Linked DNA regions of Lepisosteus oculatus. The protein of the gene in region 1 purifies or fractionates together with the protein of each later gene. This does not show direct contact. Links are inferred from orthologs where the notes say so. Each region holds a gene or a part of one and is shown in the gene's direction. Other genes may lie near its edges.

Evidence for each region.
Region 2: the proteins of wdr5 (region 1) and hdac1 purify together in Homo sapiens (affinity purification with mass spectrometry; 8 studies listed by BioGRID and IntAct, counting the BioPlex papers as one, with this or other methods). This does not show direct contact. The link is inferred for Lepisosteus oculatus from reciprocal best matches to the Homo sapiens genes WDR5 and HDAC1.
Region 3: the proteins of wdr5 (region 1) and ruvbl2 purify together in Homo sapiens (affinity purification with mass spectrometry; 3 studies listed by BioGRID and IntAct, with this or other methods). This does not show direct contact. The link is inferred for Lepisosteus oculatus from reciprocal best matches to the Homo sapiens genes WDR5 and RUVBL2.
Region 4: the proteins of wdr5 (region 1) and histone deacetylase 2 purify together in Homo sapiens (affinity purification with mass spectrometry; 7 studies listed by BioGRID and IntAct, with this or other methods). This does not show direct contact. The link is inferred for Lepisosteus oculatus from reciprocal best matches to the Homo sapiens genes WDR5 and HDAC2.

The regions. Positions count from the first base shown.
Region 1 is NC_090719.1:7,051,045-7,058,814, reverse strand, and holds the start of wdr5 (WD repeat-containing protein 5), read left to right. Parts: upstream 1-4,727; 5' UTR 4,728-4,922; exon of another isoform or gene 4,923-4,926; intron 4,927-6,325; 5' UTR 6,326-6,386; coding exon 6,387-6,467; intron 6,468-7,770.
Region 2 is NC_090706.1:3,431,044-3,438,491, forward strand, and holds the start of hdac1 (histone deacetylase 1), read left to right. Parts: upstream 1-4,403; 5' UTR 4,404-4,466; coding exon 4,467-4,515; intron 4,516-6,563; coding exon 6,564-6,676; intron 6,677-7,343; coding exon 7,344-7,448. UniProt on the Homo sapiens protein: Histone deacetylase that catalyzes the deacetylation of lysine residues on the N-terminal part of the core histones (H2A, H2B, H3 and H4).
Region 3 is NC_090721.1:2,744,391-2,751,895, forward strand, and holds the start of ruvbl2 (ruvB-like 2), read left to right. Parts: upstream 1-4,494; 5' UTR 4,495-4,588; coding exon 4,589-4,600; intron 4,601-6,122; coding exon 6,123-6,177; intron 6,178-7,127; coding exon 7,128-7,183; intron 7,184-7,505. UniProt on the Homo sapiens protein: Possesses single-stranded DNA-stimulated ATPase and ATP-dependent DNA helicase (5' to 3') activity; hexamerization is thought to be critical for ATP hydrolysis and adjacent subunits in the ring-like structure contribute to the ATPase activity.
Region 4 is NC_090697.1:5,943,642-5,951,308, reverse strand, and holds the start of histone deacetylase 2, read left to right. Parts: upstream 1-4,614; 5' UTR 4,615-4,722; coding exon 4,723-4,777; intron 4,778-5,818; coding exon 5,819-5,931; intron 5,932-6,564; coding exon 6,565-6,682; intron 6,683-7,623; coding exon 7,624-7,667. UniProt on the Homo sapiens protein: Histone deacetylase that catalyzes the deacetylation of lysine residues on the N-terminal part of the core histones (H2A, H2B, H3 and H4).

The DNA.
Region 1 (7,770 bases):
GCGGTGGTGTTTCTTGGCCCACTCAACAAAGCTTAGCGTCGTACTCTAGTTTGAGAAGAAGGAAAGATAGATTTTTTATTCTGCTTGAATAGTTTTTTTACGCAGATTACGCTGTATTGTAATCGGATGGTGTTATTGATTTTCGAGTCAAACGATCTGGTTGCTTCCTTCAAAGACATCGAGTTTATTTTGAAACTCGTGCTGAGCACCCTTACTCTCCTTCAGTCATTACCAAAACTAGTTTTGTGTAATTGCGAAGTTCGTATTCTCTGAGCTGTCAGTACTACAGGAAAGATCACTTCTGGACTCTAACAGTGGAATCGATAAAGTATTTAATATTGCAGTCATGGGATGCTGGATGTATATTTTTAATCGTGGAAAATGTTGTAATTGTTATGTTAATTTACCTTTTAACGTTAATCTTTTCAGGTATAAAACGATTTTTAAAGCATGGAGGAGAACGAGAAAAACGTGTTTGTGTGAGAACATAGTTTTCAGTTTATCAAAGTATTGACAGAATCTGTAGGATTTTTAAATGAACAATGAGTTTTCACCTCCTATACAAAAACATTGATGCAGAATGGCTTGTTAAGTGTTACAGTAATATGTTAACATTTTTGATATACCATGTGTTCAGCAAACAAAAAATATATATTACTCTAAGTGAAACTGTTGGTTAACAGCTTTAGTCCAAATGGGAAGCCTGACAGAAAAACTGGCTTAATAGACATTGGCTTCCAAATAGCAGATGGTAGACTGCTTGCAGTGTGACCACCTGTTCTTCATCTTGCTTGATGTGATTCTCGGTTCTTCATTTCTCCTTTTAAGTGGGTAATTTAAAAATAATTACCAATTGGCTTCTTGGACCAGTTGGGCTTGAAGAGGCATGAGACATCTTTTTACAGCCAATAAATCTACATGGTACCATACTTAGAATGCTCACAAAATTGGAGTCTGGTGTTCATATTTGCATTCCATGATGCATTAAACTTATTAACTCCAGTACTTTTGTACCCGTATAAGTAGTTTGTGTATTGAAAAAAAACGATATTCCAATGTTCCAATATTCCCTTGTTTAATTTTGCAATGCCTCTCAGTATATAGTGGTTCTATGTGCAGTGTTTACTGTCAGGGGACAAAATTAAAATATTTTTCTGTGTTCTTGCTCGTATTACTGAAAATTCACAGTTAAAATTATTTTTTATCATAAGAATATAAGAAAGGTTACAAACATGAAGGGTGGCTTGGTGGTGCCGTGTCTAGCATTGCTGCTTTGCAGTGCTTCATTCAGTGTTGCTCCAGATCGACAGAGCACCAATGTATGTTTTCCGCATGTTTACTCTGGGTAGGTTCCCACTGGGTGCTCTGGTTTTTTCCCACTATTCCAAAACATGCTAGGTTAACTGGCTTCTGATAAAGTTGGCCCTGCTGTCTGGACTGGCAACCAGTCTATGGTGTACTTTGCCTTGCACGTTGGTTGTTTGAGATCGGCTTTCCCCGACCCTGAATTGGATGAAGGGGTTAGAAAATGGATGGGTGGCTACAAACAAGAGGTCTGTCTAGCCCATTTGGTAAAGAGTAAATAATTGAACAAGAGACCTTATTCAGATTTTGCTTGAGAAAGAGCAAAGGTTCTGGCTTCAAAAACCTTTTGTTTTGGACACTCTGCAATATGGGCCTGTCCCATCGGCCAATCTGCATGTATTCAGCAATACTTCATACTTCATCTTCTATAATAATATTTGATTCCCTTCTTGGTTTTTGCATTGCCTTGAAGATAATGAACAGATTCGATTGAAGTATTCAGAATGGTCCAAGTTACTGACTTCCTCAGGGAAACATAAATAGGAGGAGGAGACAGGATGGTATACATAGAACTGAGAACTATGTATATCAAACAAAACAGGACTGATTGTGCCTTTCTTCAAAAATCTGCAGGACAAGGTCCTCATATCAATCACCAACCAACAAACAAACATTCAAGATGACTTTGTCTCCATTCAAATATTTCTTGTGTTCTGTGTTTTTTCCAATGTAGTCTGTTCTCAAACAGTGGCGGTTTATGATTTCAGCACTTTCCAGCTCATAAAGTTTCAATTGGTCATCAGCAGTCTACCACAAAATATAGTGGTCTGTACAGGTACTGTCAATAATGAGTCATGCAGGGTCCTTCAATGTATATAAAGGGAGAGGAGGTAAGATAATAGCAAAGCTATTGGATTTTTTTTTACGAGAGGAAAAGAGGCACAAGCAAGAAACATTGTTTCTTATAGCTGTTCTTTATGGTGTAATCTAATCTTGCTAAATAATATTTAGTTTGTCTTGGTCAATGGTTTTGGGTTAAGAAATTTAGATTTAAAATGTGTGCTGCTTTAGGTATTCAGATGACAAAGCGAACGGTCATAACATTGGCCAGTGATGTATACCTAATTTGACAAAGATTTAATACTGTGTCAAGATTATCATAGAGCCAATACTCGAAGAACCACACACCCAAAGGACAAGGATTCCTTCAAAAGGAGTCCAGATTAAGTCATTAATAACTGTATATGGTACATATATTTCAGAACATTTAAACAGTCAACATAAAACTAGTCTAAGTCTTATTTGAAATGTGTAAAACAAATAGAACATCTCTAATAGGTCCTTATAGCTAAACTATATCTGATAAAACTGCCAGAATTTGTTGCATGTAGTGCACTCAGAGGAGCTGTAGGAACTAAGAGCAACATGAGATGGAGAAACTGGTAAGGCCTTCATTCAGAGTCGCTCCAGATCAACAGAGCACCAATGTAGAGAAGTTGTCAGAGAGCAGGTGGTCCCAGACTGTGAAAGATTAAAGAATACTACATTCCTACCCAATACTCCTACCTAACATGACGTTGCCAAATAAAATGATTCCACTTGAGGATCTGGAAACAGGCAGGGAAGTTGAGTCTTTGAAACTCAAGGCTGTAGTTCCTAGAGTTCTGTCATCACAGACATATCAGCCATGACAATTCCAGTCAGCGTCAGGAAAAATACAAGAAAAAGAGAAGGGTTGATTGTTGGAGACTGTGTTCTCATGAACACTGCAAATGAAACCTCACATAAACAGCAGTGTGCTATAACACTAATTTCAAGGCTACCAGATGGGCATCTAGCAAGGACAGGTGAGCACCCAGTGGCTATTACTCATATTGAGACAGATGACATTAGCATAAGTAGCACAATTCTTCTATGGATCAAATTGAAATAGAATTTCTTAACTAGTCATGTCCAATACCATAATCATGTTATGTTTTTGAAACATTTACTCTTTGATGGGCTTTTTGGCAGATCTGTAGGTTTCCTGAATCTCACTGTATAATCTCCCAATAGACAATACTGTATATAGCCCATAGGTAATCACTTTGACAAATATCAATAAAGTTAAGGACAAAACTGTGGGCAGCACAATGGCACAATAGCTAGTTTTGCTGCCTTGTAGCACTGGGGCCTGGGTTAAAATCCTGGGGTGCTAACTATGTGGAGTTTGTATGTTCTCGCTGTGTTTGTGTGGGTTTCCTCTGGGTGTTCTGGTTTGTGTGTGTCTGGCCTGCAAATGGTCTCCTGCAACCCCGTGAAGAAAATAGATGTGTGAAATTCTCATCTTTTTTTCCCATAAACCATGATTTAAATAGATAGAAGAGCAGGTGAGTAACAGGATCAACACACTTTATTTCTTCAAACTAGTAGCCTCATCTAATACATCACGTTAGATTTTAGGAAAGTATCGTTGCAGGTTTGAGCACACAATATTAGAATACACAAAACGTGCCATATCATTCCCCTGACAAACTATACTGGAGTGTGCAGTTTACACTTTTTTGAGCTTCAAATCTATTTTTAATGCATGTTTCTCATGTATAATGTATGTATTCATACAGAAACAGCAGATATAGATTTGGCACAAAAATGTACTCAAGGAGTCACCAAGATGAAATCGTTGACCATTTGTAAAATGTGTTTTAAGATATGAATTGGCAAGTTCACTTTTTCGCATGATAAGGATATATATAAGTAAAGTGCAAACTGTCTCAAATTAAATGGTACTGGAGCTCAGCTCCAGTTCAAATTAAGCGTAGAGGATTATATCTGAATGAAAAGGGTACAGATTGTTTTGATTCATAGTAATTTACATTACAATTGCAAGGGGGAGAATTTAAAGAAGAAAAAAAGATACATGGAAAGTAAAGATAAACAACTTGAGTGTTTGTACCTAAATGCAAGGAGTGTTAGGAGAAAAATAAAGAAAACAGAAGCTAAAACATTAGCAGGTGACAACAATGTTACAGGTACCAGAAAGAAGAATTCTGGTGAAGAATTAAAACACAAGAAGATACAGGATAAATGAAAGAGTTGGGGAGGTAATATTATGGTAATAATATACATCATGAATGTTCAGGCACAGGAATTAATCAAAAGTCTCAAAACAAATGTGGGTCAGACATAATGTTATTCAGAGGGAACAGTGCTAAGAGTTTGTCACATACAACCAAAATAAGCTTTCAATTAATAATATAGTCTTATGTAATGAAATCAGGAATGTGTATAAAAAGAAAGAAGTGCAAGATCCTACAACTTCACACATGGGTTATTTTCCCAGCTTTCTCGTCCTTCACTAAATTTACCTCGGCAAAGTTACTCGCCACTTTTGTCCCTTCCTGTTTGCCGTAAATATAGTACATGTTCATGCGTGCGGACATGCGCACTGTGCGTCTGTCGCCACATTCCCCGCCTGAGCTCTGAAGCCAACAAGCTGCAGCTTCTTCATTGCAACAGAAAGAGAAGAAGGACAATATTCCAGTTATTGTTCAAAAGGGAGGGTTCGCAAGGCGAACCAAGACGTCGATTTGGTGACAAAACGAACGGTGACCGTAAAGACGACCTTTGAGAGGCGAGTAGGTGCGCATTTTTTATTGTTTGAATGGAAGGAGTAGAATATGCATGTGCAAAGAAAGGAAAAAAAATCCTGAATGATTTGGTTTTAACGCAGACTGGGGGGATGGGTTGCAGACGTGGAAATGCAGTGGTCTGAGATTTTTAGACGCGAAGCTAAAATCGCAGTGTAAAAATGTGCTCGAACGGTGTGATCAAGGAAGCATGTCTGGTTTTGAGTGATGCTTTGGCGTTTTCTGTGCCAGGCCGCAGTAACTGATTAAGTAGTTTAACCTATAATCTTAGTTTTTTTAAGACTTCAGTAGTTGCTTGTGAGTAAGAGAAGCCTTATGTGTTTTTGATTAGTGGACTTTTTTATATTAAAAAAAAACAGAACGGAGTACCCGGTTTATAGCCTACGGTAGTCCTGTTGTTGTAGATGGGCAGGTAAATTATGAATTACGACGACTCTTACTGTCGTACTCCAGTACTGCAGCCTGTCGCCTGAATGCCAATTTGAAGTGAACAGATTTAAGGTTAGTTGCTACATTAGGTAACAATTCTGTTCTGAAGGTTCCAATTCGTGCCATTTAAGGTGTTGTTTTAAAGGATTTCACCTACCTTTCTGCTGAAGTCCCTCCTAAGGTAAACTTTAACCGTATATAGATTCCGGTTTGGTGAAATCTTCACCCGTAACGTTTTGATTTGATCACGCTTCATACAGGTGGCATTCACAAAAAAGATGAATGTCAAATAATGTAGTTTAGGTACGTAGATTTATATACTGTATTATTTATGTGAAGACATGTCATTCATGCTCATTTTTATCTCTTCCGCATAACAGCGAAGCTGAAACGTTCCTTAGTGTATTAGCTTCTTATTTATGTTGTGAAATACAACAAGCAGGATCAGTAACCTTAAATTGACCTGCTAGCCTTATTTAGGTCTCAGTACCATAAGCATTACAACCTTGGTTCAGTTTGTTTTTAAACCAACCAGCTTAATGACTGATGGCCATTGATTTCTGTGACTTACAGAAAATAATTAACCATATTTATCATCATCAGTTATCATGTCCAGTTGAAAGGCCTGGCCCCACAAAAGATTTTAAATCTATTTCATAGCATCTTTCTGTATTAGAACTTTGCAGTGTACAAAATGTACAAATGTTACAACAGACCTTTAAAATGGAATACAATTTTATAAAGAACATTCAATGCTTGAATTAAAAATATCTGTATAAGACATATTAATTTTGAAGATTCATGTTTTGGAAACAAAAATGTTTTGAAAATGAAGCTGTTTCAATTACAAGTAATGGGCAAATGAAATAAGAATTATGTGTCTTTTGGTGTGTGTTGTTGGTTTTGGTGTATGTTTTTTTTTTACTAAATGGGCGCAAACAACAAGCTTCTATTATTTTTAGTTGTGATCGTCTGGCTGCTCTGGCACCTATTCCGAAGATCTGATTCACTTGCTCAGTAACCATGGCAACAGAGGAGAAGAAACCAGAAACTGAAGCCACTAAAACACAGTCTGCTTCATCAGCATCTGCTAGTCAGAGCAAGGTAGGAGGGGCCAGAATGCATACTCTTTTTTGGCGGGTGGGAGTTGTCAGTTTCATTTGAATTGATGAGTCTGTTTTGACTGTAAATATGTATTTAACTCTACTTATTTTCCCCTCCATTTTAGATAAGTATAGATTTGTTGTACAGAGGTTAAATGATTCCTTAAAATGACCCCCTTTGTAAGCATTCTAAATGTATTGAGTTGATTTTTTAATTTCCTCAGTGTTGGATCTTGTAGATTAACTGCAATTTGAATTTCAGGTCAGCAGCATGTCCAAATATTGCATTAACTCATTTGAAATATTGTAAACTTATTTTACACAGCAAATGTAAGATTTGATCCTATATATTATTCACACCCTTTGGATTTCAAGTAAATTAGTATCTTTGCTATTAATATACTAAAGTGTAAATGATTTAGGAATGTAGTTAGCTGTTTACATAGCTTGCTGGTGAATAGTCTCTTTGCCATAGACATTTTAATGAGCTAAAGAGTATAAATGTTAATTTTTACTTGCTTACAGGAAAATGTCTATTGTTGTGACACAGTTGTGGTCAGAAATTCCACAAATTATTATTGTATGCTCAATTTCTGTAGAAAGTTTGTTTCAGAGAAGCATATTTTTCATATGATCTAAAATCTATAAGAAATTCTGCAAAAACAGTAACGTTACAAGTTATAATTATTATTTTAGCCTTTTTATTACAGATTAAAATCATATTCTGTATCGTGACAGCAGTAGTCCTTTGATTTGATCCATGTATGTTTAAATTCATTTATATACTGATGTCAGCTGTTGTTCAAGGAAGAAGCTTATTGCCTTGTGTGCAGTTTGATCAGTGTGGCAAAAGTATTTGTTTGGATGCAGTGTTTTATAGCGATTTTTTTAGAAATTTAGAATTGCCAGTTTTGCTATACTTGCAGTTTTGGTTATTCCAAATTGTGTGTTGTTTTACATCTGGGCTCACCCCTACTTACCTTGCCACTGCACAAGGGAGAATGATGAAGTATAAGCTGAGTCCTCTGACCTGTCTGAGTAAAAAAAAAACATTAAAAACGTTTTTTTTGAATATGTCACAGGCACACCGCCCTCTACTCTTTAGGCTCAGTGCCGATTGGAAGAGAGGCACCTTGACCAAAGCTTGACAGCAAGCACCCGAGTGCCTGCAGGGGTCACGGAGAACTGAGAGCCCTGACCGATTTACTCTCTGCTTACACTTAGCAATGCTTAGCCCCTGTTCACAGCCAGCCTATGACGAGACTCAGGCTTAAACCTGTGACCACAGCTCAACTTGTTCTTGG
Region 2 (7,448 bases), on another chromosome or scaffold:
GGAAATTGAAGGAAAAAACTTCATTCCCGTTTGTAAACCACAAGTTTTCACTGTCTCCAAAAGCGTTAGTGTTAATACTATCGCAGAGTATTTAGGATTACATTTACTTTTTTGTTTTTACTGGCATTTTTGATTATAGAAATATTCATATGTTGGATTACAGCTATACTGTTACCAACCTTTGTGCTTAGATGTCTCATGGTCTTGCTTTTTCTGTAACACATTGGCACATAATGCCTCTGTGTTTGTGTATCCAAATAATTATCAAATAAAATATTAGGAAATAAATGTCTCTGTGCAATAAACATATTTGTGACTGTACCAGGTGTCACTCGAACTGTTATGCAGAAACGGAGCTCGTTAAGAAACTACATAGGACAATATTTTCATCGGATTAATTTTTAAAAGAAGAAAACTTGTAGTTGGAATTGTAGAGACGTCAGTGCAATGAGAGTTGCTCACTGTTCAAAACATAGGAATAAAATGAGTTTCCGGAGAAGCAGTTAATTTCAGCGTATGTGGCACAGCACCAAACACATGGACCCTTAAGGCGCTGTCATTAATCATCACATAGGTACACCAAGACGTTCACTGAAGGGCCGACTGCTGTTTTTCTTATGTGCTTTCGAACACTAACAACAGCACGCTGTGATTTCACGTGGATCTGGAAGTAAAAGAACTCGGAGACGTTGTGTCAAGTATCTAGTCTGACCCCCACGTTGACACCACCAACCCACACAACCCCTTGGTCCCGATCTGCAGGGTCTAGACGGGTGTCAAGTCCACTTCAGTGAAAGGCGAGCTTTGCGACCCCGAGGACAAGACGTGGCCGCTCTGGGGAGTCACGTCACTATTGTAAGCGGCTGATGTTCTAGGTATATATGCTGTGCAGTCGTGGGGACGTACTTTTTCTCTCTAGAAGGCGGGCGCGTTACAGCCACTCACCAGACCGTTTCGGTAGCGCAACACCTGTCCGCCGCCGGCGGCTCCTTCTCACGATCATGTGCCGTTATAATGGAGAAGAATAAACGACGGAGGCAGAATACTCTTCCCTCGGAAGTACAAATCGATGACCTTAACTCCTCAGATCGCTTAAACGCTTACTCTCTCAGCAGCCCGCCTGAACCTCTCTTCTCGTTCCTGTGCCGTCACAACGACCTTTCACCCTCTCGCCTGTGAAACGCATCATTATTTTTAAAACTCAAAACTCTTAACATTTACTAAATTATGTTTTACACTAGATTATATGTTGCACTGTTTACAGCCTCATCTTGCATTGCATGATCTGTTGCGGTTTTAAGCAAGCTGGAGATACGTTGCTGATGAGATGACCAATGGCTATGTCAAAATGCTGCGGTAGAACCAGTATACCAATTGCAATAGAAATGCAGCAGTATTTATTATTAGAATTAGAAACATAGAGGTGTAAAAATACGTTTTAAGAGACGATGGGAGTGCCGATCGACTCTGAAGAGCTGACATGGGTTGGAAGATCATTCCACAGTCCTGGAGCAAAGGAGCTCAGTTTCCCAGAGTTATCCAGGAATTGGAGCCTTGTTTTGGAAACTAAAAGAAGGTCAGAGTCCGAGGAGCTCAAACGACTTACAGACGCAGCCAGGAGCTAAACCACTCAAGCCCCAAAAAGTAAGCAGCAGCATTTCAATTATCTTCAGAAATCGGCAGGGAGCCAGTGCGTGGAAGCTAAGGTCTGTATTTTAATTTTAATTCAGGGTCTGAACAGCTTCATTCTGAAGATATTACAGGTTGTTGAGAAAATGTTTGGATGCAGCAGAATGCACGACACTATAAACAAGTCTGGAAAAGACAACAGCGTGCATTAGCTGCTCTGTATCAGATCGAGAGAGATGCACACGAGGAAAGAGACACTTTCATAACATGAACTTCAGATGCGTCAAAGACGAATTCAGGTCTGCCGAACTGAGCACTTGAACGGGTTCCAGGACAGGTCAATGTGAAGCTGCTGCAGTGGTCGAGCCCATGAGGATGAGCCTATCAGCAAATTCTGAGGGCAGAGCTGTGGCTCTGTGGCTCGGGATCTGCGCCTGTGGCTGGAAGGTTTCTGGTTCATATCCCATGACTGGCAGAGGAATCCAGTGCTGTTTGGCCCCTGAGCAAGGCCCTTCACCCCAACTGCTCCAGGGGTGCTGTATAAAATGGCTGACCCTGCGCTCTGACCCCAAACTTCTCATGGAGAGCAAGCTGGGGTATGTGAAAAGACAAATTCCTAATAAAATAAATTGTATATGGCCAATAAAGTATTCTAAAACAAAACCTGTCAGAGTCCAGATAGTCACCCCATTTGCTCCTGCCCGACCTTGAGGCATCATCATAGGGTTGTTTATCTACATCACTTCTGTGAACGTTCCTCACCTTTTCTCCCTCATACACTGCTCTGGTACTTCCGCTCCTGTGCAGGATGTTGAGGCACCAGTAGCCTCTGTTCACAGCGGTTACGCGGAAGATTTATTATTGTAGTAGTAGTAGGAAGAAGACAAAGGGGCAGATGCAGAGCCAGTCAAATAAAAGCCCTTCTGAAGGAGAAGATGCTGAGTCTGGGTGTGAAAGGGCTCAGGGAAGGGGACTCTCTGACATCCTTGGGGACAGAATTCCAGAGCTTCAGGGCAAAGCAGGAGAAGGCCCTGTCACCCACAATATGTACACGGGCTTGGAAACGGACAGGAGACCAGAATTAAGACAAATAAAGGTTGCGAGGCGGGAAGGGGGAAGATGAGAAGTCAGACATTTCCTGAGGTGCCAAGCCGTGTAGAGTCGTATAGGTGAGCACGAGGATTTTGAAGTTGATATTGTGGTGCCCTCGCCTGGCTAAAGTGTGCGATGAAGGGCAGGACGGGAATAACAGCCAGGGCAGGGACTAGGGATTACACAACACCCTCTACCTCCAGGCAATGAGGCTGCTAAATAGCCAAGCAGCAGCTCCTTCAGCAGATCACCCGGAATGGCTACATGGACACACAGTTTTCATTGTATTCGGCATACTGCACTACTTTGATATAATGTACTGCATACACCCTGGGCACATCGCAGCTCTATTTATATATAATATCATAATTTATATTATATTTAATGCGATTTCTATTGCACTATTATAATGTAACCTTATTTTGTAACTTTAATTTTGTGATTTTTAAACCCTCCCCCCCCCCCAGTGAGCTCGTAGAAAAGACATTTCATTGCCAGCAACTACTGCTGCATGCTGTATTGTTGTGCATTTGATGAATAAACTTTGATTGATTGATTGATTGATTGATTGATAGGGGGCCTCGGGCCAGCGCCGCTGACCATCCGGAACGGCTGTACACTGTGTGAAATCACTGTAAAATAGTTATTCCCCAGTTCTGAACCCCTTTTATACCTGTGCCCACTGACCACCCTATAACTACCCACGTACCTGTACCTGAAATGACCCCCGTGTGGTGTAACCTGCTTTGTCGTGCTTTAGCTCTTGTGTGGTTGTTGCTGAACTGGACAGCCATTCGACTAACAAAGCGCTGACTGTTTGTGCTAAAAGAGCCTGAGTTCTCGTCTCCATCCTTGCCAAGCCCTTCGTGTTACAATATAGAGAGAAAATATTGTGGTCCAACATACGACACTGATTTTTTTTTTATCTAAACAGTTATTTAATTAGTAAAACATTAATTGAGATACACCCCAAGATTTAACCCAATAGCCTTCAGTCCAGAGTCTGGGGCCCAAATAGTAACCTCTTATTTAGATTAGTATACCACACATCAGGTGACTTTCCAAGCAATGCCATAGTGAAGCCAACAGAAAATTATTTGGAACTTTCATGTCACTCAAAAGTAATATTTAACAAGTGACACTGGGTATTTTGTGATATTACTAACCAGTCATTACAAACACCAGTTCCAAGCCTAAAAAATAAGGCTGGCTTTCTGCACGTAGCTACCTGGTTCATACCATGAACGTAGCGCAATGTAAAAACAGTATTAAGTGACCCCTTAAAACGAATTAGCGCCAAAAATATAAACTTATCTTATCATATAAATATTTTTAAATTTATTTTGGTCTAATTCGATTTTATTGTTACCCCTGCCGCCCTGGACACTAAACCACAATGGTACAGTCCTGAAGTAAAAATGAGATTTCCGAATATTGGACATTTTGAAACTGGGGCCATTTTGGATCCCACGGAGAACACCGCTTTAGGGTTGAACTGGACGGATAACCGGAGCCAAGATGGCGCTCAAAGAAACACAGTTTCATACCCTTGTTTATCTTCTGTAGAGGGGCGGATAACCCATTCGCCTGCGAAGGACGCGATTGGACAAAAGGGGGAAAGACGGCCGCCCGCTACGGTCCGAGCTAGTCTCTGATTGGCTCCAGCGGTGTCAATCCAGGTTCCCGGTTGTGGCTAGGGCTGCGTAGCGCCCGGTAGACAGGCCGTGGCTGTGTCTGGAGGTAAAATGGCGCTGACTCAAGGAACAAAGAAAAAAGTTTGTTATTATTATGACGGTAAGGGTAAAGTTTAAGTTGTATTTTCCTAAAACCCGGCCGGCGTAACGTGCACGCACGGAGATATTCGCCGGGAGGGCTGCGTTTATCGTCTCTTTTAAAGCCTTTTTTTGGGGGGAGGAGGAGGGGGGGGTGAGTCCGCCGGCCAAGCGCTCATAGAGCCATGCAGCATCTCGTACCCCCTCCTTCCCGCAGTAAGAGGGCTGCCGGGCAACGTAGTTAAAATCATGGCCAGGATAAGTTGAAGCGGGGTCTAAATTTGAATTATCGATGCACAGTGGTCTCCGGCGGCTTTTCCAGCGTTTGCATGCTGGTTTTCTTCCCCCCCAGTCCCGCGTCATACTGGCCATCATAATAATCCCGAAGTCGCCCGTCTCCCCCCGGCGACCGGGTTACCTGAGTCGGTAAAAAGACGGGCTGCTGCGTCCCTTTTATTTATTTATTTTTACCGCCCCGGAGGGGTCGACATGCCGCACACCCGGGGAGTGAAAAAAGAGGCTTAATTATTGATGCTGTGCGGGGTTTTTTTTGTTTTGTTTTTTGTTTTTTCCCCGGCGGTGGATGCAGCCGCTGTGAATCGATTTGCAGCGGGGCGGCGGGATGCGTCAAGGCGGGGGAGCGAGGTCTTCCTCTCCCTTGTGCTCGTTTGACACCAGCCCCCCCCCCCCCCTCTAGACAGGGCTGAAGTGGCCCCTCCATCAGGCATCTCCCCGCCGGAGAGGGGCTCCTGCGTGGGCTCGCTGTGTGGGGGCGCCTTGCCCCCTCGGCCCTGTCGCCCGGTGTGGCTTGACACGCACGGACCGCCATGGGTGGACTCGCTCCTCCGAGCCTGTAATAGTCATGCCAGGGCAGCTGGCCTTGCAACCACCGAGCAACAGCAAGTTGCTTAAATCGTTCCTTTAGTTTCTCCAAAGATGCACCTTTTTTTTTATCTCGGGAGGTTGGTTCGTTTTTATGGCAATAATACAGAACATGCACAATGAGAGGGGCAGTAAAGTCTGTAGGAGCAGAGGGGTGAAGATCAGAGCCAGTTCAGAAAAAGGCTCTTCTGAAGAAGCAGGTTTTTAGCAGTTTGCTGAGGGGTGTAAGAGAACAAAAAAACGATCAGTAAAATCTTCAGGCAGCAGTCTGGTTAGGATCCATCGCATTAATAAACACGCAAAGATTGTGGTATGTACCTTGTGTTGCTTATAACTATTCCTGATACTAACCCAGCACCTTTTTGGAGGGTGCACCTATCTTTTTAAGAGCAGTGTTTTGCCTTTCTTTGAGCACAGATGATAAGTGTACACAGAGGTGGTAGTTTGATGTCCTCTGAGGGTTTAGCTTGTGTCATATGTACGATCGTGGTGCTGACTGTAAAACTTGTGGCGCTTGGTTAATTCTGAACGTTGCCATAAAATGTAGGTTTTGGTCCAGTGGAGTTCATCGTGGATACATTATAAACGAAGGCCGATCTGCCCATCTAGTCCTTTCTCTGGTTGGTAGCTAATTGATCCAATGTCCTTATTCAGCTGTTTCTTGAAAGAAACCAGGGTTTCGGCATCAGCAGTATGACTTGGTAGCTTGTTGTGCACTCCCACAACTCTTGATGTAAAGTAAGACAGCCTCCTATCTGAGTTTGCTATGCACTTCCGCGTGTGACCTCTGGGTGGTGTTTCACTGCTCATTTTGAAGATGTCCTTTAGGATGATGGTGTCAGTGCCTTTGAGTATATTCAGCCTTTGATTCGAGTACAGTAGTGTTCTCTGTTCAAGACAGGTTTTTTTTATCGTCATGTATTCATTTGTGGTAGTGCTCTAAGCTCGTAAAACTTTATTTGTGGTTTTAATTACTGTTCTCAGTGTATGGTCTGTAACGTTTTCTGGTCCTCCAACATACCAGTGTTCATCTCCTAGATCGTTTCAAAGTAGATACATTTGTTTGACTGGCACATTGTTGAGGAATCTGGATTTTGAAGATGAATGCTTTTGTTTATGTTGCTGTTGGTTTCGCGAATGCCAAAGCAATTCTAATGCAGCTCCTTCCCATCTTCCCTGCCCTCGTAGGGGATGTTGGGAACTATTACTACGGTCAGGGTCACCCCATGAAGCCACACCGAATCCGGATGACCCACAACTTGCTCCTGAACTATGGGCTGTACAGGAAGATGGAAATTTATGTAAGTACGAGAGTGTTTCTCTCTCTCTCTTTTACTCTCAGGATAATGTTGCTGCATGCATTAGTAACTTATAAACCCTGTCCCGTCCCTGTTCCAGTTGTGCCAGTTGTGTGTTTATTTAGGGTTTCTGTTTGTGCTCCGGTAATGAGATAGGAATAAATAATATGGTGAAGTATTAAAATATTTGCCAAACAGACCTCAAACTACAGGGTTTTCGAGGGAGCAAATTGTAGTGGCTGTCCATGATGCCTTGTTAAAAGAGTAAATAATCTGGTACTGTTGTCATGTTCAAGCATTCATAGTGTTCCCATGATGCCTCTTTAGGTTTAGTTATTTGTTATGTTCAATATTCATCATGTGTATCTTTTTCACTCACTGATGACCATCAATGTTCCTCAGTTGCGAGAGTTTCATAAAGTTTCAGACTTGGTATTTAATCTTATGTATGTTTTTTTTTTATTTCTTAATGGACTAAATGTAACACAAAGAGTACCTCCTTTTATTTGGCAGGAAAGCACGTTTCCCATCTGGGACACCGAAGGAAGTAAGGGAAGGCTGTTGACATGGATGGGCTGCAAGGGTCCTGGTCCCAGGACGACCCTGTCGGGATTTTGGGAAGTGCGGCTTCTTTCCGTGTGTTCACGTTCCCGTTCCCCTGTCTCCTTAGCGTCCGCACAAGGCGAACGCCGAGGAGATGACCAAGTACCACAGCGACGACTACATCAAGTTCCTGAGGTCGATCCGCCCGGACAACATGTCGGAGTACAGCAAG
Region 3 (7,505 bases), on another chromosome or scaffold:
TGTGACCTGCTCCTTTATTGATCATTCTGCTCCTTATTTAGATGTTCAAGTAGTTGCAGCACGCTTGAGTAATGGTGCTGACTAAAACAATGCAAGTTGAATAGCCCAGTCTGACAGAAATCCAAATATTGCTTGGATATATGCTTCTTTTACTTTTAAAAATGGGGAAAATTTATTTAAATTTAATTTTGTATGCAGGTTATGGGAAATGCAGAGGTTGTGTACTTACAGCTCATCAAAAAATAAATATTTTACAATATAAGTACATGCAAAAACGTTTTCTTGATATAGAGCTCACAAGGACTGCCAGGACTAATGTAGACTGTACAGTATAAGAGGTCTTGGCGATTAATGCACCAGTTTGGTGACAGGGGACACTGCAGGTCTCAAGTGCCATCCATCAGAAGAGACATTAAACTGAACTGCTGACTGCTTGGTCATTTGACCTCTCCCAGCACTGCGTCCAAGTCTTTAGCTATTGAGCAGTGGTGTGGCTGTGCTGGCTACCCATCGCGAGAGCACAGCCCTGCCAGGACCACATTCACCAGGTTCCTCTGGTCACCTGACCAGCTGCCGGAAGTTAATTGGTTGGTCAGGCGACTGTTTAAAAAGCAAGAACCAGAAGCTTCCATGTCTTCCAGAAGCCAAATGCTCCTGTCATGCCTGCAGGCTGAGGGGCAGAGGGAAGGACTGACTGGTGTACTCACTGTGGAGCTACAGTCTATGGTGGTAAGCAAGGGGCACAAGGCAGGATGGACCCTGGACAGATCAGTCACAGGGCAATTTCCCCAGAAGCCTGTTAAGCTGCCAGTATGCCTTTGGACTGCGGGAGGAATCTGGAGCACCTGAAGGACGCTTACATGAACATGGGGAAACATGCAGACTCCACACAGAGAGCACCCCAGCTCTGGAATTGAACCCAGGGCCCCAGCGCTGTGAGGCAGCAATGCTCACTGCTGCACCACCATGGTGCCACAGTAGATGATCACTGTTAGAAAACATACTATAACATCTTTATCTCCTAAACTGCGACAGTTAAATAAGATGATTACTAGTCATTCTCACATCTAGTCACCTGGGAAGGAGTGTTGAGTAGTGGGAAAGACTAGGAAATCGCAGGTAAAAGTCTGTGTGTTCAAACCTCTTGAGCAATATATATTCTTTATGGTGCAAACTAACAGCTGTATTCAGTAAATGGGGACAAATTGAAGTTGCTTTGGAATAAAAGCATCAGCCACCAAAGCAGTAACTTAAAACCCACTCAGGAGCTCTGTGCTGAGAGCTAGTTTCTAGTACGTGTCATGGAGAAAGATCAAAACCTTCTTCCACAGCTGCACTACAACAGGCCCTAAAAAGGGCTTCTGTCCTTCTTCCCTGTGGTGACAGATTTCAGTTCAATCAAGTCTTCAACTCGGCAGCTCTGCTCTCACTTTGACAGAAAGCAGCCCTGTAACCTCCTTTGAACTATCAAAACATTCCTGGCTGAGTGGCTCTTCAGGAATAGGACTGCATTTCCCTCTTAATATCCTGTGCAAAAGGAACATTATGTCAGTGGTGCTGTCTATCTTTATCCTGTCTTGCACAGTCTTTAAAAAGCGAGACACACTAGTATTCAGAACTGAGGCACGATCCAACGCAAAAAAAACAAACAGTAAAATGATCAATTGGGAGCTTGCAATTCTCCTTGAAACTCAACATTTTGAATTGATTTGGAGCTGATGGACAGTGCTTATTGTTTAAATTGTTAAATTTGTATTGAGAAAGAAGAGGCTAACATGAACTGCGTCCTTATATGCAAAGTGCAGTTATTTAGAAATTAGACAGCTTTGGAAACAAGAACAACAATCACATTGCTATGACACTGCTTTTGCTGATACATTAACTAATAACCCACCTATTATTATAAACATGGCTCCCTGGTAGCCCTGGGTTCATTTCCTGGGGTGCTATCTGGATGGAGTTTGCATACTCGCCCCGTGTTTGTGTGATTTGATAAACAAGTATTCGATCACTCATCTTCTCTTACACTGTCCATTAAGTAACAAAAAAACGTAACTTAATGTAACCAACTCGTTACATGTTTTACCACGGCTTCTCCCCTGTGTGGGTAAGCTGGTGTCTTATGAGATGCTCTTCCCGCACTGGGTGCAGCAGTTCGGCGTCTCTCCCGTATCAGTGCGCTGGTGTTCCTTGAGGGCACCCGACTCGCTGTATCTCTTTCCGCACTCGGAGCATTGTTCAAGACTAAAAACACTGTGGACAGGCAGCATAGTAACGAGAGAAGCTGCCTGTATTACCGCCTGAAGCCACACGAGGGCATCAATGTCCCCCAAAATGAAATGTCTTGATTGCTTCCCAGCTATGCCCGCATGGAGAAGTTCACACGTGGAATTCTTAAAAAAATGACTACAGGTCTCCCTCATCCTAAATAATTAAAAATCCAGATGGCAATGCTGAAGAACAGTTTTTTTGTAACCCGGAAACTAAAATACAGTATTAGAAATCTTAATGGACTGTTCAAACTCCACGTAATATTACAAATATTCAAGCAGTAAGCCTTTATTGCTTCTCCAGCATGTTCAGAAAAGAAAAACGTCAACCCGGACGCCTTTAGCCTCTATAGGTAGTTCAACCTCAGCATTTCTCATCTCTTATACAGTACTTCACGTTTTTGCTACTTGAATTGTTTACTGAAGAAAAGTCCCATACCAGGTTTATGCCCAATACTTAACGTTATTTATAGCTGTGAATTGCTCTTGCATCGCTTGCGGAGTTACTCCTGTTAATTATAAAATCTGAATATCTGTCAGTTTTTATTAAAGACTAAGCTATACATTCTTATAACCGATCAGTCACAAATGTTAAATGTACCAATAAAAACACAGTTTATCCGTGTGTCATTTATTTCTATATTTTAAACCCGGTTCATGCATGTAGTAAGGCATCATGATTATGATTTCTGCTTCTGCCAAAAATACTCACCAGTAATGGAGCGTCGTCATGTGCGGACTCTTGTGGCCCGGCAATACGGTGTGTTCAATATTTGCACGGTGCAAATCCTCACTACTTTCACTTCCTGCCTGGCTCTTGCATACCGTGGTTTTCTCTTTCGGCAAGCGGTAATGCAAATCGAGCCCGTGGACTCAGGTAGCCTCTTCCTGGATAAACTACTGCGGCTGTGTTACCTGAATACGTAAAATGCAGTCGGTTAACAATTCCTTCCGAAATATGGATACGTAGCACGGAAAAGTGAAACGCATACCCAACCTAAAACTGCGGCATGTGTTTTTTTTTGTCAGTGACACCAGCTTCTCGATTTCTGCCATAGTTAGCTGGAACACGGCACAAAAATCACACATTTGTGATGCCCGAAAGTTTTGTAGAATCGCGGATTATTCAAGGAGACGGGCAATCTAAAAAATCTCAGCAATAATAAAAAAAAACAACTTTTTGTGAACGTACATAAGCTTTAACTTTAGTATTCACATTTCAGAAAAATGTTGCATTTCCTTTTTTTCCCATCAGTACATATACATCTCCCCGTGAGTTGGAACAAAAGCAAAATACAAAACTCTAAATGCATTCAAACACCCCAAATCAAAGGAGTTTTTTTTATGTTGGTTTTACTACAGATAAATTCTCAACTTTTAACTACGTTTCTTTTGAAGGGGCAATATCCAGCTGTATTAATTATTAACCTTATTAACAACTATTTGTGTTCAATGGCAGTGTACGAATACGGTTTGAAAGTGCATCCTTACTGCTACAGATGTGAAAAATCAGAACCTACTTTATTGTCCACATATAATGGAGTTCCCAAAACATCCAGTGGTTTTTACGAAAATATACAATCAATGTAATATTAATAACAATACAATACATAAACAAAACATAAGTACAAAACCATAAGAGTAGAGAGTGAATATTAAGATTAATATAAGTCTAAACTGCATGCATATATACGCTCTGAAGGGGCTCATACATTAGGGTTTAAAAGAGTGAAGGCACTCGGAATTAATAACTTCTTTTAAATGTTTTTTGTAACCTTTGATACTCTGAAACGCCGTCCGGAAGATATATTGTTTTAAATTGGCAGTGTAGTGGATGTGAGGCATAATTTGTTACTAAAATAATAATAAATGCTTTCCTTTGAACGCTTCTAGTATAGATATGGTTGAGCAGGTTCTGTGTCTGAACACTAATGTTGCTGCCTGTGTTTATTATACTTGAGAGCTTGGCGCTACACCTTACATCGGATTCCTACACCAAGTGGGGATCTTAAAAGAGGGCGCTCTGTCTGTACCAGACTTGAGTAGGTGAGCTTTGGGATGTGTTTGCGTCCAGAGACTGCTAATATTTGTTAAGATAAATAAATCTGTAATCATTAATTTCTTAATCACATGTATATAACTATATATTTCGGACTCATTCTATTTTTCTTCACTTGATTTTTTAAAACTTCTTCAGACAAGAGGATCCACACGTTCACACAGTTATTCAACCGGAACACTTACTCAACTCCGTTGTTGTTTCCACATCGGGAGGATTTGAGAGGCGCGACCAGACGAACGGCCGCATTTTCGAAAAGATGGCAGCGCAGGTGAGTAACATGCTTATAAAAAGAGAAGCTTACAAGTGTCCGTTGCCTTTTGAGTTAAAAAAAGTGTCTCTAGAAAGGAGTAGATTTAAAGCCATCGTACTATTATGAGTTGCTTTTTCAAAATATGGCTTTTATTAAGTTCAACCCAGAGATGAGGATGAGTTGAATCTACCCGCGAGAGCATGTAAATCGCCGCCTAACCAACAGCCCACTAGAAAACAGTATAAATACGATACTTGTTAAGCTCGTACGTGTCTACTCATAACGTACCGTATATCAGAGTGGATGATTAGGTTTTCAATTATTTGTTGGCCACACTGGAATGAGCAATTCGGCCATATTGATTGTTGCCGGTGTAATTTCATCCCGAGTGGTTACAGAATAGTGGCGGCAATGTTTCTGCGTTTATACTTTTCTGTAGACCGAGGTCAGTTGTTATTTCGTTAAAATACTGTTCTGTACTCCAAGGTTTAGCTGATTTGGGGAGAGTGTAGCCGCATGTTAGTTTAATACAACAGTACAATATTCTTTTAACATGTAAACTTGATAATCACGTGTTTCTACCAAAAATGTGGCAAAAGCGCTCCAAAATATAACCGCCTAGTTAGATATATTAGTATTTATTTTGACACAAAAATAAAACAATCTCTATGGTTGTATTTGAACCCTACGTTTTACTTTTGACGTTCCCCAGAGTAGCTCCCATAGCAACGTCCAGGAAAGCCAAATCACTATGGCAACAGTGCAGGCTTCAGTTTGGACTCTCGGCCTTGTTTACTGTTAGACTCGTCATTTATATTATAGGTTACTGTTTATGCTGTCTTAATGGGATTAAGTCAAAGCAGATCAAATGACAATTCTGTTTTTTTCTTACATAAATGTTTAGAATGAGTTCTAGTCTTCCTAGGTTGTAAGTGAAAAGCAAGTACTCCTGTCTTTAGTGTTAGTGGTCATGTTGTAGAGCTTCTAACTTGATCACAATTCAAGGTGCAGACTGCCAAATGACATGCAGAGAACTTTGCAAAAGCCAAAGGTTTTTTTACTGTCATTTTAAGTTTTATAATGGACAATACATAATGTAGGTGTCTGAGCAATAAAGAAAACAATGTGTATGTGTATGGGCGTGTTCAGTTATGTGTCTATTTTAAAATTGCATTATATTATATGTTTTTGTTTGGGATGTTTTTCCTCTTTTTTTAAGTACCGGAGGATAATTAGCTACTATTAATATTCAGAGATGTGTTATTCTTCTTCACTTATTTATATTAAATCCAGGCCCTTATAAAGCAAAACAAAGTGGCTGGGCACTGTGCATTTCCTTCTTAAGCAGGACAATTTTCTTTGGCATATTGTAAAAACATCTTGAAAGAACCAGACATCTAAAGAAGTAGCTCCCATTGAGGTTCAGAGATATGTTAGATATCAAGCCACTTTTTTCACGTATACAGAGAACAACTAACTTTCAGCAGAAGGACTGATTTGCATAAATGTATGAGTTAGTAATACTCTGTTATTCTTGTAGATGGCGACAACAAAGGTTCCTGAGGTGCGTGACATCACCAGGATTGAGAGAATTGGTAAGTCTTTAGAAGTTTTCGATGAATAATTGAGCTAGAGTATGAAGGTGTATGTAAAATGTCACAAACCATGAGAAAGTAAGCAGCTGGCCCCATAGTTAAAACACAGTTGGCGGGTGATGTTAAAGAGCAGTGGTGCACAGTTCTGATCCTGGGAGAACACTTTGTGTGCTAGTGTTCATTCCAGTACAGCTCTCCAGTAGTGCTCATTGATGACTTAATGGAGCCGCTTACTTTTTAAAAACTTTTAACATGTTTCTTTGGTCAGTCCTGTGTTTCAGAAATATACCCTGTATATTTTGCCATCGGCCTACAGAGCTTTAAGCACCCTCTCCTAAACTTACTTTCCATTAGTTATGACTAAACAGTTCTTACGTGTTGAACAATTGATGAACAGATACGCCCATTGTAAGCCTTTTTTCCTCATGCAGAGGTCCTATTGGTCACATGTAAGCCAAATCATCTGAATTACAATGTCAATCCCATTTGACCTTTTACAAGTTATTAAAGACAGATTTATTAATATACCACAGACTGAGATCAATTAGCCTTTGCTTAGGAGCACAACTTTAGGATAAACCAGAATATTCAAAGCTCCTTCAGGACTAGGGTTAGGAACCACTGCTGTAAAGTACTGATATTCACTCCTGGTCATGCAAGGCTACAGATTGGGATGATTTTCATCCCAATCTGGACTATTTGATTTGAATCATTTATTTATATAATTAGTCTGTATTAACACTGGTTCCCAGTCTTTTTGTTTTTACTCATTGAGGATTGTGAGTTATCTTTAAAACCTGGTGTACTGTGCCCCCCCAGGAACTGGAGTCAATAGTGCTCCTGTAGAGTTATTTGCAACTGTGCAGTGATTGCAGTCCTTATATCCAACTTGTGCTGCATAAATACCTTTAGAGTGATAAGAGGACCAATGGTATGGTCATTTTCCCTAGGGGCGCACTCTCATATCCGAGGACTGGGGTTGGATGATGCTTTGGAGCCTCGACAGGTAAGTTGTATCATAGCATGTGGGATTTAGAAACTGAAGCATGTGCTTTGGAATGAAGCAAGTGAGCACTGTAAAGCACAGATATTGAGTGGTTATTCTAATGATACTGGTAAAAAACTGTTTAATTCTTTTGGCATCTTGCGGAATTCTCTTAGCAAAACACATCTTTTCTTCATTTTCTGCCCAAGTTAATTTTCTTTTAGTGCTGTTGTCACACTGCAACATAAACCGTGTTATAATAACCCATTTAATCTCATAATAATCTGGTATAGGTTTTAATCTGTCACCCATATGTAAAAAAATAAATTCAATCTATAATGTA
Region 4 (7,667 bases), on another chromosome or scaffold:
TACAGCAGGATTAATAACTCTTCTCATACTGGATTTTATCTCAAGCTATCCATGGCAATTCACAAAGGTTCTCTATTATGGGCCTCCTGTTGATAAATATTAATCATCTAGAAATTTCAGGATGGCAGGCACTGACACAAGTTCATAATTGCATGTATGATGTTAGTGACAAGAATGTTTCAGGTTTGCCTTCCCCAAAGATCAAAATCTATTAATCAGCAGTTTATGTGTCAGGAAATATCTAAAAACCTTCTATTACTGTCATTTAAAAGATTGCTTGGATTGCTTAAATTGCACAAATTGCATAATTTCTTAAGAGTTTGATTATTGGTTTTCTTGTTGAAATTGTGGATGGGCCCATAAGAAGTTTACCTAGTTTTTTTATAAATCATTTTATACACATGTATATTATAACTTTATATTATAAAAATCACAGGAAAAAAATAACAAAGTAAAGTTTTAATGACACCTGACACTTCCATTACTGCTGAATAATTTATGTTTGTGTGACCTAAATTTAAGTTGGCTCATTTTTTTTTCTGTCCTGGAGTTTGAAAACGTTGTAAAAACAATGAACTGATACTATTTTTACTCAAAAGAAAAATGTGTGCTGCCACTTTTTTGTCATTATGACAAAGGCTAAATTGGGCAGTTAGTGACACGGTGGTTAACGTTGTTCTTCGCAGTGTTGGGTTCAATTCCAGAGCTGAGGTGCTGTCGGCATGGAGTTTGTATGTAATTCCCTGAATTTGCATGGGTTTTCACTGCTCACTTCAGTTTCTTCCCACAATCCGAAGACATACCCTATCTAAACGAACTGGTGTGGTGTGTCTGTGTTTGTGTCTGTCTGCACTGTAATGGACTGGCATGTCATCCAGGTTTGCTTCCTGGGATAGGCTCTGACACCCCAGTGACCTTCAATTGGATCAAATGGATGGATGTCTTCATGTAAAATCCAGATTTTGCAGGAAAAATAAAATATGCAAGAAACTTAAATTCAATCAATTTAATATAATGTGATTTCCTAGAAACTGCTAAACTGCATATGCAATAAGCATGTTGCTCTTTTAGGAATATAAATTTATAGGTTTTAATAGCAAATACCATTGAAAAAGAACTCTCCCCATATTATACTGTGTTCATGCAGGTATTCAAAGACTTCAACCTTTTGTGGTCCCTTTTCCATATCTGTGCTTTTCAAAGACTTAACCTGTGACTTGATTTGAAAGTGCTTTAGTTTTCATGGTTGAGTCTTTGCCTGAAATTCACTACGTGGCCAAATGCACGTTTTCTGAAACCATTAATTACTGTAGGTGGCTCGCGCAGGTACAGTAATACTGTGCATGTAAATTCATTTCCATTTGCACAGGAAAGGGTTTGAATCTTATGCTATCATCACCTTTCCATTTTTCATTCATATTAATTATAAAGTTACTTATTTGTTTTTGCTTAGAATGTGTGGAGTAGGTCGTGTATATAACAAATATTAATTGTTACTTTTAGGCTTTAAAGCAACAAAATCTGAAAACTGTGCCAAGCACTGTATGCTGATGTGTAATCCAATTAGATTAGTGTTTGTGCAGAAATTAGAAAGCAAAATATAACAAGTATTGGTTAGCTCTTTGCTGAAAAGTATAAAGCAAATATTTTCTTAGTTTCTTTCTTTTGAATGGAATCAATCTCTCTTTCTTCCTTTGTAGTTTGCATGGTACAGAATTAATTTAATTTTCATGATGTTTCTGCTTCTTATAGACACAGTAATATTTCTATAGAGAACTGAATTTCCCATCCAAGAATGTAGTTATATCCAGACTGGTTAATGATATACCAGTATATGCATGAAACTTGTCATATTAAGATTAACAAGATGACACAAAATGATAAGATTAACAAGTTGGTAAAAAGCAGTTGAACGTCAAATAGGGAACAATGAAGGTTATGTTTTTTGGTTTGCATGTCTTATACTAAATTGGATACAGTTCAAGGATAACATTCTATTCCTTTCTATTTTTTGCTACTTACTAAAGTACAAATGTAGGGAAGGTTGTAATGTTTCACTGAAAATTCACAGGAAAAATGTCAACAAAGTAATTGTATGTTTTTCTGAAGGTCTCTTTTTCTTTGAATTATGTCAGCTTCCATCACAGAAAGAAGCAGAATAATTTACTGTATATTCTGGTATCGCATGGCCTGATGTAAATCTAACTTAAAAATAAGAGACCCATGGGTGCCAAGTTATAATTAGTCAATGATATTCTGAAGTTTACATTGATATTTTAGTCCTGCTACGTATTGGGCTTAGTATTTAGTCATAGGACAAAGTATCTTACTGAGGCAGTTACCCAGAGGGACAGGGAAAAATTTTATTAAAGTGTTTTTACTGAAAAGAGGAAAAATGAGTCTAATGACTATCACACAGCGCAGATAAAGTGCAGCCTCCAACTACAAACTGATGTCTAGAAAACCATTATACAGTACAATACGTAATGACTCTGTGTTCCCATATACAGAACCTGCAGCTCTCACAGAAATTGAAAAGTATTATTTTTCCAGCTTTCCTTCATGCTTTAAAAGATGTTTAATCAGTAAAGCAGTTCTGTATTTTTCATTATGACATAAATGATCACAATGAAGGTTAGCTGTATGTTGAGATTAATACACAAAGTCCTAGAGGCAGGTTCAATAATTTAACCCTAACTATATTTCTTATGAGCCCCTTTGTTGGATCATGTGCTTTTTGAGAAAGCTATCCTGCACCATTTGAAATGAGTTTCTCAGCATTTATATTCCATTCAGGCACACTAGGCTCATAGCTCCTCTCTACACCAGGACTGATATTTCAGAATGAAGGTTTCTCATTTTTATTTCACTGTGGGAATCAATAATGGATTAGTGAATTAATAGACCTAATGCAACGACTTTTGTTATCTGGTGCACCATACCAGGGCATCCGTGTGGAGGTCTCAGATTAACAGGAAACATGCACGGGCCTACAGGCTTAAAGTATGAAGAGTCATTGATCGATTCCATTTTCTCAGGGAAAGAAAAAGAACTAAAGCTTTTGAACAACTGGCAGCCAATCAGTACCCATTTTAATAGTAAAGCAAAACCTACTGAAGCTCCTTCCAGGGAGCCCTGACTGACTTTTCCATTCCCTGTCTAGAGTCTGACAAGTTCTATAGAGAACTGTGAAACTACATGAACAGACAGCTCTGGAATCAAGAGGTATCCCTGGTAAGGGGAGACATTTAGAAACTTGGTATCATTTATCCAAGGAATACTCAAGTTTGAAGCACTTGCATTTGTACAGTACTAGGTACTCATACACAGTATTTTATAGATTATGTCAGGAAACCTGAACCCTAACCCTGGAAAGCCCCAGTCCTGTATTTTTAAAAAATTCTCTAAAGCATTTTTGGCATAGACCAGACATATTAAGCAATGAAATGAGTAATTTGTGAAGCTGAGGGAACACCTGTCCTTGAGGACTGAAAATGTAAGTTCCTACTGATCTATAAATTATTTCACGTAACAAAGAAGTAATTACAGTTGATCACAAGTCATTGTGCCAAGCTTTTAGACATCAGTGATTGAAGGGTTTCCTATAAAACCCCAATCAATTGAACAGAAGAACATGTGAAAGGTTATAGCAAGAGGAGGCTGTCTGGTCCGTCTAGCCTGTTAGGTTGTTGGTAACTAATTGCTCCAGAGGTCTCATCCAAAAGTTTCTTGCAAGAAACCAGAGTATCAGCTTCAACAACATGGTTTGGTAGCCTGTTCCAGACTCCAAAGGAATGATTTCTGTTTTAGGTTTTGAAGGCACTTCACCACAGTTTCATCTTGTGTCATCTGATCCGTTTTACTATTCCTTTCGAAGAAACCATCTGTGTTGATTTTAGCTATAAATCAAAAGATAAATACCATAAGATTATAGGCAAATCGCTTCACTCTCACTGATTGGTTTCCGATTCCCAGATGATTTCACTACTAAATACAATGAGAACAGTAAAAAAAAAAAGATATCAGAATTCAGATCGGATGCGCTGTGTTAACTTGGCTTTGCACTTTCACACATCTTTATTACTGCACTGCTAAGTAACAAAGGCCTGACCCTTGAATATTGCTCTCATCATTTTAACAACAGCTATCCCAGTTGTATTAGAATCATCAAACACTTTTTATAACATTTTTATAGAAGACACTTAAATTGCCATTCAAGAAGCTAACTCTTTACATTTTACTTTTTTTTTTGGTACAGACGGATACTTTATTTCTGTTAGTACAGTACTTCAAAAACATGACCGGTATAGATCACATTTATTCATATATTGGATATAGTGCTTTGTCCTGCTGACGACGGCATAACTGGTATCTAAAATTATTTCTGTTCGTGTTAGTAGCCTCACACAACCCTGGATCAGAAGTGGCTTCACCATCTACAAATGATCAGCGAGATACCAATAAATAATATATTGTTTTACTTCAATGATTGACGCACTAAGGCCCGTCGGTGTTACAGAGTGTGTTGATGGACAGCTGGAATATTTCCGTCTTCTTTATTCAGTCCGATGCTCGGCGCTGGATATAAGACACCCCCACCACCACACGGCCCACCTCTTTCTCGTCAGTGTACCGCCCCGCTCCCCGTCTTTCCTTATCTCTCCGCCGAAAATATAACCAGCTTCCGTCGACCCGACATCACCTTTCGATCAGAGAGTAATCATGGCATATACCCTCCAAGGCGGTTTAAAGAAGAAAGTCTGCTACTATTATGACGGTACGAGACCCTGCAGTCCTGTTCCTGCTTTGCAGTTATTATTTATACAATAGACGACGGGGGTGACGCTCACAATGAGAGAGGGGCCGAGTGAAGACGAGAGGGACAAGAGACGGGTGGCCGGGTTTAGTGTGTCTAAATGTAACGCAAAATGTAAAATCGTGTCTCGCAGCTGATATTTCTTTTTACATCGACTGTAACCGCATAATTGAAAGTTACAACGCGTTTGAAACTGATTTTACGTTGAACCCCCGAGAGTCGATGCGAACATTTCGCGTACCTCAGCCGTAATAATACACAGAAACATCACGCACGATGGCCACTGCGCAGCAGTTGTGCGTTTATAATTTCTGTTTTAAAAGTTGTTGTTTGTTTTTTTGGAGGGGGGGGGGTTAGGTTAGCGAGGTGTCCCGACTGCAGTGCTGAATCAAATTAAATACTCAGAAGTTGTTCATTGCCGCCAAGGCCTAGTGGCGACGGGAACAAAACAAAACCATACACTGCGCATGTCCGCCTTCATCCAAAACAAAACCGTCTCCTTCCGTCGTCAGAGCCATTAGCGCTGTTTTCTTTACAGATTTAGTAGGTATCGCCCGTTTTCTTTATAGACGCCACGGAAAATGTAGCTATCGCTACTCACCAGCACCAAAACGGTTACACTATCCCGCGTATATTTGCTTTCTTTAATACCTGCCTACGTGTGATTAAACTGCAAGCGGATTGTGCTTCTCTAAAGTACGTTGACGCCAGGACATGTGGCCTCCTCGCGTTATGGAAATGAGCCCGACGCAAAAAAACAACAACAACAAAACAATCTTCATCGTTTAATTTGTAATTATTGCGTCTCTTAAGTGAAGATTTGTTTGCCAAAATGTAAATGTGGACTTAAGTCCACAGCAGGAAAAGGTGTCCCTTAACATCTTAGAAATAAATGGCACTGAATGGTTTATTAATAAAAGAGTTTTGTATTTCTTTCAATACGAAGAATTTGAATAAGTCATGCCCAGTTTTGTCTGTTAACCTTTACTTTTTATTATTCAGGTGACATTGGAAACTATTATTATGGACAGGGGCATCCCATGAAACCTCACAGAATTCGCATGACCCACAACTTGCTTTTAAACTATGGGCTTTACAGGAAAATGGAAATCTATGTAAGTCTTGAAGTGTAATGACAGATTACACTTCCGCTGAACATGTGTCTGTTGCATTGCTGTCTTTAAGTGTTTGCCAAGCATCGCTTCACAAGTCAGCATTATTGCCATTTCACTTATCTACAGTGTGCATTTTATTCAATTTGCATGTTGTTGTACCTGTTGTTTCCTTCCTACTTACAGGTCATTTAAACTTTGTATTACAATGAAAATTCACCTTAGAACAGGGCACCTGCTAAACAGAGAAATACCTCTATGATTAGTTATCATGCAGACACTAAAGCAGAGGACTGATGTACTTTAGCCACGGAAGCAGTATGTGAAAATGCTCTTATTCCGCTCAGTGTGTAGGTTCATAGTGTAATATATCTGGACTCTTTTTTCTTAGGATAGCAAAATTCTTTATGAAAGTAAGCAATAGAATAAATAAATAAGGGAGCATTAGTACTATTTGATCAGTTGTAAATACATTATAATGTAGATTTAAATATTGGCATTTTAATATATTTATTATATACATAGTTATATTGTTCCTGTATGTATGATACTAAAATGCCATTGGGATATTTATTTCTTGTTTCTGTCTTGTGTTTAACTCTGTTGATTGGATTATGTTCATTTTTGTGTCTGCAGAGACCTCATAAGGCCACAGCTGAAGAAATGACAAAGTACCACAGTGATGATTACATCAAGTTCCTCAGATCAATCAGAACAGAAAACATGTCTGAATTCAGCAAACAAATGCAAAGATGTGAGCATTGCAACTTTTCAGACAGTTTGAGATCTTGTCTAATCAAACACTTCACTGTAGATTAATTGCAAAACTTATGTAAGAATCTGTTAAATCTGTTTTACAGATGTTGTTTTTTTCTAGCGCCTGACTAGGAATACAATACTAATTAAAAAAGACCTTACTGAGTTAATTACTTATTTTTGGTTAGCTTACCATTTTTGTCTTTATATCACAAATCATACCTAATTTATAATTATAAAGTAATTATGTAAAGCAGCTAAACCATATAGAATATAGATTTTTAAATACATCACTGGCTGTCATTTTACCTGGACATATCACGTTTATGGTATCATTAACGTGAAGAAAACGACAGTTGAAACAACTGTTTCTCCTGTCTGGTTCTCTGGTTGATTGTTTTTGATAGATATTTAGCAGATAGTATTTCTGTAGATTCATCTGTTAAATTGGTTTTGCTGTCCAATAACGGAGAATGTTCAGGGACGATAATATAAAGAAAGAAGGCATCCAGCTCAGTTATTAACCAAATAATTGTTTTTAAACAAGATCTTGCTGCTTCAAGTATTGGTGAGGCTGCAAGACTTGTTTTGCTAGATGCTATTAATATTCTCAGAATTAAAAATAATCAGTGGTTTACAAAATGTACTGTACAGTACATTGGTTGTAGTTAAGATGTAAAAATAAAAAATGGAAATTGGGGACTATTATACTATTAATTGCAATACTGTTTATATATTATAACCTGAGTGACTGATATGACCACATGTGCGTGGACGTCCATTTGTCTTTGACGAACACGTCTGAAATGTTAGTAGATGTTTATCATTCTGGGTATTCAGAGTTATCTGTACTATTTATAGGATGACAGTGTGAGCTATTAAGGCATGATCTGTTTAACTATTAACCTCCCGAAATGTATGCGTCGCATTCTTTTATAGTCAATGTTGGGGAAGACTGTCCAGTCTTCGATGGGTTGTTCGAG